Linked DNA regions of Schizosaccharomyces pombe. The protein of the gene in region 1 interacts with the protein of each later gene in a pairwise test. Each region holds a gene or a part of one and is shown in the gene's direction. Other genes may lie near its edges.

Region 1 (4,067 bases):
AACGTCCTTATCTCGCACTGACTCACGAATTTCAACGCTTGTCTCGCCATTTGCAAACCTTTTTAGAGATACATCACAAGGTGTAATTCCAAGTCGGTTAGAAATGAGATGTAAAAGTTCAGGATGAGAACCGCCTCCAATGATTGTAGCACTCTTCATATTCCCTATAATATATTTCCTCAACTTACGGTTCCCGAATTTCAAAATCTACAAAATTACTCAAGTGAGCTTCAAAAAACTATATATGTGCTAGAACTACGAGAAGTAATTATATTATCGTTTTCCCGTTAAACAGATGCGTCTAGGTATAGGTAATTGAGTAAAAAGAAGAGTGTAACTTTCTGTTGTTTTTTATTTGCCAGTTTTAAGCATCGGTATACTTATTTAACGTAACTGTAAAATGGCACGCTAAAACGATAGTTTCTTTGTTTTCCCAACATGCTAGATAGGTCACATGGACTCATAAATTGGCATTCCTAAAATGTTAGATAAATATACAAAATCAGCTGAAATATTACTATTAAGTCTAGAAAACAAAAATAATTTAAATTTGACAAAAACTTATTTTTAAAAATGTTTGACATTTTTCGCTTCTTTTGCGTTTAGTCATAACAGTAGTCGCGGTAGTGTTCCAAATATTATAATAGCGATTTCTAAGAGAGTCGCTATATTGAGTGTTTGCCGTAAGCTGACTGAGCGACGAACGTGCTAAGAGCGTAATACTATTCTTTAATCATGAATTCTATCGTATCTAAGTATACACAAAGTACTAACAATGATGACCCAAAAAAAATAATAGAAGAAGAAGGATTTACAAATCGATTTGATGTCGTACCAGTGCCTCAATCTTCTCTTTATTTACGAAACTTAACAGATGAAACGAAAAACAAGCATTGTCTTATTAAAATGAATCATGGTACTACTACTTTAGCTTTTCGTTACCAACATGGTATCGTTGTTTGTGTAGATTCGAGAGCATCTGCCGGTCCTCTTATTGCTTCACAAACCGTTAAAAAAGTTATAGAGATAAACCCATATCTTTTAGGTACTCTTGCTGGTGGTGCAGCTGACTGTCAGTTTTGGGAGACAGTTCTAGGAATGGAATGTCGTTTACATCAACTTAGAAATAAGGAGTTAATCTCTGTTTCTGCTGCTAGCAAAATTCTTTCAAACATTACTTATTCATACAAGGGTTATGGACTTAGCATGGGTACTATGCTTGCTGGAACAGGAAAAGGTGGTACTGCACTTTACTACATCGACAGTGATGGCACCCGATTGAAAGGTGATTTGTTTTCCGTTGGTTCAGGTTCTACATTTGCGTACGGTGTTTTGGACTCTGGATATCGCTGGGACTTATCTAAACAAGAAGCTCTTTATTTAGCTCAGCGCTCTATTGTTGCTGCCACTCACAGAGATGCATACTCTGGTGGCTCAGTAAATCTTTATCACATTGATGAAAATGGTTGGGTCTTCCATGGAAACTTTGATGTTGATAGTCTTATATGGGAAGCAAAAGATAACGAAAACTCCTTTGCTCATATCCCTCGCTAAACTCATGCTTGCTAGTAGTCATGTGTCATCGGTGTATTAAATGAGACGTTGTTATTTGCTATTCCCTTCTAGGTCAACTGTCATTTATTCATTTATTTTATACCCTTATATTTGAATGTCGAAGTCAATTCCGTAAACTATACATCGTTTGTAACTTCTTTCAGAGAATGTACAATTTCACATTGCCATATATTTGATTGACTAGCTTAACATGACTTGAAATGAACCTTGTTTTCAAATCTGTTTTTATCAGTATTCGAGGAGGGGGTTATATTACCGTGTAAGTTATCGTTCATTAATAAATCTATACACACCATATGATAATTGTTCCATTAATGTGATGAGTACTAACGATTGTTAAACAATTAAGCTGCAATTGGGATTGTTTAGCATTTAGTCAACTTAATGATTTTCGCTGAATAAGATTATTTTATGTTGCGGTATGCTATGAGTTTCACTATAGTGAGTTTTTTAACGATTCGATAAAAACTATACAGATTTGTAAAAAGCTATAGCAAGAGTATCGTTGCTTCCTAAAGCGTCGTTATGTTGTCACGGTACTCTACTTGAAAGCATATAGTACTTTCGTTTGTAACACGTTTGCCCTTTTTATTATATCGCCTTTTTTTACAATGAGTAACGTTTCCAGTGAAGATGGAATTGCTCCTGAGACACAGCTTATCATTGATGACCCTGATGTCCAGCAAATCGATGCAGATGAAGATCTGCTTGATGATGTGCCGGACGACGTCGATGTAAATGATATCTTTAAATCATTAAATTGAAATATAGCTAACCAACTTAATATAGTGCGTAGAGCTTATTCAGTCTCGTATACAAAGCATGGCATCTCTTGGACTTGAAAGATTTAAAAATTTACAGAGTTTATGTCTTCGCCAAAATCAAATCAAGAAAATTGAATCAGTTCCAGAAACATTGACTGAATTGGATTTGTATGACAACTTAATTGTCAGAATTGAAAACTTGGATAATGTCAAAAATCTCACTTACTTGGATCTGTCTTTCAACAATATTAAAACGATTCGAAACATTAACCATTTAAAGGGCTTAGAAAACCTCTTCTTTGTCCAAAACAGAATTAGGAGAATTGAAAATTTAGAAGGTTTAGACAGGTTAACGAACCTTGAATTGGGGGGGAACAAAATAAGAGTAATTGAGAATTTGGATACTTTAGTTAATTTAGAAAAACTCTGGGTTGGCAAAAACAAAATAACCAAATTCGAGAATTTTGAAAAATTACAGAAACTTTCTCTTTTATCAATTCAATCAAATCGAATAACTCAATTTGAAAACTTGGCCTGCTTATCCCATTGTCTTCGAGAATTATATGTATCGCATAATGGTCTAACTAGTTTCTCTGGTATTGAGGTCCTCGAAAACCTTGAAATTTTGGATGTTTCCAACAACATGATTAAGCACCTTTCATACTTAGCGGGACTAAAAAATCTAGTAGAATTATGGGCTAGCAATAACGAACTGTCTTCTTTTCAAGAAATTGAAGACGAGCTTTCTGGTCTTAAAAAACTTGAAACCGTTTATTTTGAGGGAAATCCTTTGCAGAAAACCAATCCTGCTGTTTACCGTAACAAAGTTAGATTATGTCTTCCACAGTTACGCCAAATAGATGCAACTATTATCCCCAAAACTTCGAAGCAATTCCCCTAATCGTTATATGGATTGACTATAAAATCTCTTAATTTAAAACATTTCAATATGGTTTCCCTCCGTTAATGCTATACAACCAAAGTATTGAAAGAAAGTATACGACTAAAGATTTATTAGATACATCTTACAATTGAACAGTTCTCTACGATTGAGAGTACACTTTAGTAGTAAAATGCTTTTTTCGTTGTCATCTATCTATTAGATAGTATGTTAGTTGATCACGTTTACACTCATACTTGAAAAGTTATGTAATTTGCTGGAAAAGAATTGCGTATAAAATCGGTGGCAGGTAGATATAAGTTGGCAAATAGTTTTATATGGTTTTTCTTAGTTTTACGTATACTGGTAAATTCTATATTTATAGTTATCTCACATAGTCGAAATACGTGTTTAGTTTAAAAGCTCTCGCAGATCGCGATAAAAATAATACTCTTATTATTAAATAGACTATTGGTAAACAGTGTACTTTGTTTCGACTAATGATAAAACTGAGCACCTAACGCTCAATTCCAACAAGGTAAGATGCTTCTTGTTTATTGCTAAATTTACTAAATTGAAAAAGAGATGATCTTATATTTAACAAAATCTCTCTCTAAAATCTTTCTATAACTGATAATTACTCAAAAGTATTTTACAAGCTTACTATACTGTGTAGTAGAGAGTGATAAAATGTTAATTATGCCACAAGCAGTTGCTAATTCGCTATATTTGATAACGATGCGTTAAATATTCGTTACATGCTTCAAAGCTGATAGGTTTAACCTGAGTGTTCCCACGCGATAGTAAAGGATCAAGTTAACTAGAACCAACAACTAAAGCAGGTGTTG
Region 2 (4,581 bases), on another chromosome or scaffold:
CCAAAGCATCTAATGAATAAGCACCTTGGTTCTGAGAAGTAAGGTTCTTCCATTCAGACAAATTAATGGGCTGATAATCCTTGGAGACGTAGTGACCTTCCATACTAGAAATGGCAACAACGTTAAAAGAGGTAGTGCCATTGGTAGAAGCGTTTTCATTAAAACCCTTAATTTGGTTTAAGAGTTCACCGCCGATGTTTCCTGTACCTATTTATTTTTAAGTGATTAGCTTTCGCTTTACAAAACATTCAAGCATTCAATTTATTGTGTGCTTACCAACAATAGCAACGTTAACGTTAGTTCTGCTAGCTGACATTTTCAAATAGTGGGTGGGAGAGGTAGAGATGCTACGACGTTGGGTCGGATTACGAAAAGCAGTGACAAGGGTTTTCTCAAAGGAAACTTTGGAAGAGGTGATATACGAATTGATAATTTTGTTGTAGGGAAATAAAATTTTAGAAAGTGTAGATAATTTAGGGAGATTTAAATTTTTTCCATGTCTAAATATTGTCATACCAAACATTTTTTAGAAGAGTTTATTTTATACCCAAAAATGAGTTTTCAACCAAGGAAGGATCTTTCTCTCTGATTGATATCAAAGTTTTGCAGGTATATTTGTTGTGAACAAAATGTGAGCGACATTATATTAATCGAGTCAGAACATATTTGTAATAATACTCAAAAGCGCAAAATCTATTACTGTAGCAATAATGATGTTGATTTCGTTTGATACAAATTTTATTTAATTTGATTTTGTTTTATTGAAGCTCCGCTAAATAAACTTAGCTAGAAATCTAGTATAGAAGCCGATTTATATAAATTAATCACAAATTATAAATATAACGCATTAAATTTCATATATGGGATTCAATGGCATACAATCATATATTTACTTTTACAATTAATAAAAACCACTTAATCAACTTATGTGATTTATTAGTGTTTATCGACTCGTGAAAAAAAATATTTAATTTTTTGCTTCGTAAATTAAATTATATGCTGCTAAGTGTCTAAATAAATCACATTCCATCCATCAAATTTGCTTTTTTATTATTAAAAAAAAAAAAAAAAAAAAAAAAAAAAGAGATTTTTGAAGAGAAAAGTCTAGGGTTCAAGAAAATGAAAAACTGTAATGAAACCAATCTGACTATATAATTTGTTAATTATATATGCATATTATTATGATTAGCAAACTCAAATCATAAGCAGGTGCAGCTTTTTCAATTTAAAAGTTCAGATAACATACATTAAATTATTTATTTATTTTCTAAATCAAGCTTAGAAGAAAATAAAATATTATGATAAAATACTGCGAAATTAAAATGTTCTGAATATACCATTTTAAATTCTAATGAAGTTTTCTTGCAAAACAATAAACCGATATTATCTTGAAGTAGGTTGCTATCTCTTAAAATATTTAAATTATTCTTCACCTTTTATTAATAAAGAAAATTGAATCAATTTGCTAGACAATTTGTAGAGCAGCAAGATTTAGAGGGTTGTTTAAAATCAACAATTAATATAAGAAAAGAATTCCAAAGTAATTTAATTATAGGTTTATATACGTTTTTTTAATGTAGTAGTGATTATAGAAACTAGGAATATAGGAAAGTAGGCACATATTATGCATCAAGCTCGTTGTACACCCACCACCCAACCATTCAACTACCTACTACATACAACTCACTCCAGTTTCCTACTGTTAGCCATAACCTTTATTTCTGAGTTAGCAGCAAATATTGCTTTTAAACGGTTTGCCGACTGAATACCGTTCTCCGTCCGTCTTACTTTTCCTCGGAACACTTTACTTGGAAGAAAAATCGTCGAAATTCGGTCGAGTAAAAAATTAATCACAGACCCAAAAATTTGACTTCATAAGTGTCAAAAGCGGTTATATTGGATACCTGTAAAATGTCGAACCCAGATGTGGATTTGGATTCCATTATCGACCGCTTGTTAGAAGGTGAGTGGGGAAAAGCAGACTTGATCATGATGAAGGGTTGAGTTTAGACAAATTTTTGAAAGGAAATTGAAATCAGTTGTTGTTTAATACAATAATTTACATGAAGAAACTGGAAACGACTCTATGTAAATGTTCATTCAACTGTTCATAAAATTTGAGGAAAACCCAGGAAAAAGGGAAAGTTTTTTCTTTGAAAACGTTTAGAAAGCATTTTCTTTGATTCTTGGTCTCATTTGTGATGACACTTGCTTTATATACATAATCACGCATATTTGTATTCAAATGCGATTGCATATTGGCATATATCGTGTTTCTGTGTGAATGATTTTTCTAACCAATACTTCCATCCTTAATTTTACCATTTAAACCATTTAGCTATTTACTAACTTCTTTTAGTCCGTGGTAGTCGTCCAGGTAGACAGGTTCAATTATCTGAAGATGAAATACGATTTTTATGTAACAAAGCACGTGAAATATTTATTAGTCAACCTATCCTTCTAGAGCTTGAAGCTCCTTTGAAAATTTGTGGAGATATTCATGGCCAATATTACGATCTTCTTCGACTTTTTGAGTACGGAGGATTCCCTCCAGAAGCCAACTATCTGTTTCTAGGTGATTATGTTGACAGAGGAAAACAAAGCTTGGAAGTAATTTGTCTTTTGCTCGCTTATAAAATCAAGTACCCCGAAAATTTTTTTATTTTACGTGGAAATCATGAATGCGCCAGTATTAATCGTATCTATGGATTTTACGATGAATGTAAGCGCCGTTATAACATTAAGTTATGGAAAACATTTACAGATTGCTTCAACTGCCTTCCTATAGCAGCTATCATTGATGAAAAAATTTTTACTATGCATGGAGGTCTTTCGCCAGATTTGAACTCTATGGACCAGATCCAAAGAATCATGCGACCGACCGATGTCCCTGATACTGGGTTACTCTGTGATTTACTTTGGTCTGATCCTGACAAGGATCTTACAGGCTGGGGTGATAATGATAGAGGTGTTTCTTTCACGTTTGGACCTGATGTTGTCTCTCGGTTTTTGCACAAACACGATATGGATCTTGTTTGCCGAGCCCATCAGGTTGTGGAAGACGGTTATGAGTTCTTCTCTAAACGTCAGCTAGTCACATTGTTCAGTGCACCTAATTACTGTGGCGAGTTTGATAATGCAGGTGCGATGATGAGTGTTGACGAGAGCTTGTTGTGCAGTTTCCAGATTTTGAAACCGGCTGAAAAAAAACAACGCTACGGATACCAAGGTTCAAGTCAAAATTGGCACATGACTCCACCTCGGAAGAATAAGACAGGAAATTCAAAGTAATTTAAGCTCAATCCAATTTCTCCCATTCTTTTTTGTTGGTTTCATTTTCCACAAGCAACAATTCGACGATAATACCGCTTTATGTAGCTGTTTGAACGGATTTCTTTTCGTCATTTCTCAATGGTCGATGATTAATTGTTCATGAAATAACTGAATGTTCTTTTAAGAAATTATTTTTTGCACTACCATTTCATTATTCATTTTCTTTCTTTTCCGTCAATTGTTAGATGTATATAGACTATTGCCTTTTATTTTTCATCATCTAAATTCCCTTTTTTAACAAAATCTGACGCTTAAAAGACGGATGTTTTTACCGAGCAATAGTTGTTTGAACTACTTTATACTTCTTATCTTCGAGAGAGTGCTTAACGTTGATGATGGCATTTTCCGCTGCAAGCTTCTGTTTGCTATCGGTGGAATCCTTTATAATGACCATTGACAATTTTGTTTAAAGGTCTTTCATTTCAATTATGTATACTGGTCTCACGTTGGAAAATAATTTGCCTATTTAGTTATTGTTTATACTACTATGCAATCAAATTTCCTTTTCAGTGATGCTATTTTATGGTAGTTCACACGTTTATATACAGTAGGCTTATACAATGTTTCGGCATTCCTTGGGATTTGATAATATAAAGCCACCGTTTAATCGTAAGAGAGAGTAAGGTGCTTATTATCATTACAGCTATTTACCGGCGAGTTAGCAGAGTACTCACTAACAAGTCTATGAACACAATAATAATATTAAGAAATTCAGATTTATACTGCTGCTAAGGTACTATCAATTAATAGAAAATTTGTACCACCCAATTCTTGACTAAATTCGGTGAAGATTAGCCGAAAGTTAGCCAATATGTATAAGGGCGAATCATCAGTCTAGCACGAAAAACAAGTTCAACCGCAATTAATCTCACGGGTAATTTTGTTAAAAAGTGCAATGATACAATTTACTTTAGATTAACAGAACGTCACAGCTATTCATATACATCCAGTAAGAGCTTACTCTACGCATTCGCTTTAAATTTAACCGGCAGACTACCTTTATTTTTAGAAGCACAAATCAAACGAGATTCTCATTTTAGAAATCCAAAATTTTTAAAACGTTGAATTATGCCATTTATGTAGAAACCAAACTAAGACAACTAATTCCAAGCATTTTAAGCAGAGGCCTTAGCTTGACGAATAGCTTCGACGGTACCACGGTTGGCAAACTTTTGGTTGCGGCGGAACTTAGCATCACGGTACTTAAGAGAATCGTAACGGTGCTTTTGAGGACGCTTAATACCGTTA

Evidence for each region.
Region 2: the proteins of sds22 (region 1) and dis2 interact in binary tests that used the Schizosaccharomyces pombe proteins (3 or more experiments, as listed by UniProt).

What each region holds. Positions count from the first base shown.
Region 1 is NC_003424.3:2,572,593-2,576,659, reverse strand, and holds sds22 (serine/threonine protein phosphatase PP1 regulatory subunit Sds22), read left to right. Parts: upstream 1-2,118; 5' UTR 2,119-2,186; coding exon 2,187-2,309; exon of another isoform or gene 2,310-2,364; coding exon 2,365-3,240; 3' UTR 3,241-3,500; downstream 3,501-4,067. Other genes in the region: SPOM_SPAC4A8.14 (ribose-phosphate pyrophosphokinase), read right to left, coding at 1-159; pts1 (20S proteasome complex subunit beta 5), read left to right, coding at 736-1,554. UniProt on the Schizosaccharomyces pombe protein: Essential for the mitotic metaphase/anaphase transition. Positively modulates protein phosphatase-1, possibly by forming a repeating helical rod that is capable of enhancing a PP1-dependent dephosphorylation activity.
Region 2 is NC_003423.3:3,172,429-3,177,009, reverse strand, and holds dis2 (serine/threonine protein phosphatase PP1 catalytic subunit Dis2), read left to right. Parts: upstream 1-1,911; coding exon 1,912-1,963; exon of another isoform or gene 1,964-2,031; intron 2,032-2,312; exon of another isoform or gene 2,313-2,359; coding exon 2,360-3,291; 3' UTR 3,292-3,845; downstream 3,846-4,581. Other genes in the region: hom6 (homoserine dehydrogenase), read right to left, coding at 1-207, 277-316; rpl29 (60S ribosomal protein L29), read right to left, coding at 4,449-4,581. UniProt on the Schizosaccharomyces pombe protein: Essential role in cell cycle control. PP1 is perhaps required for exit from mitosis.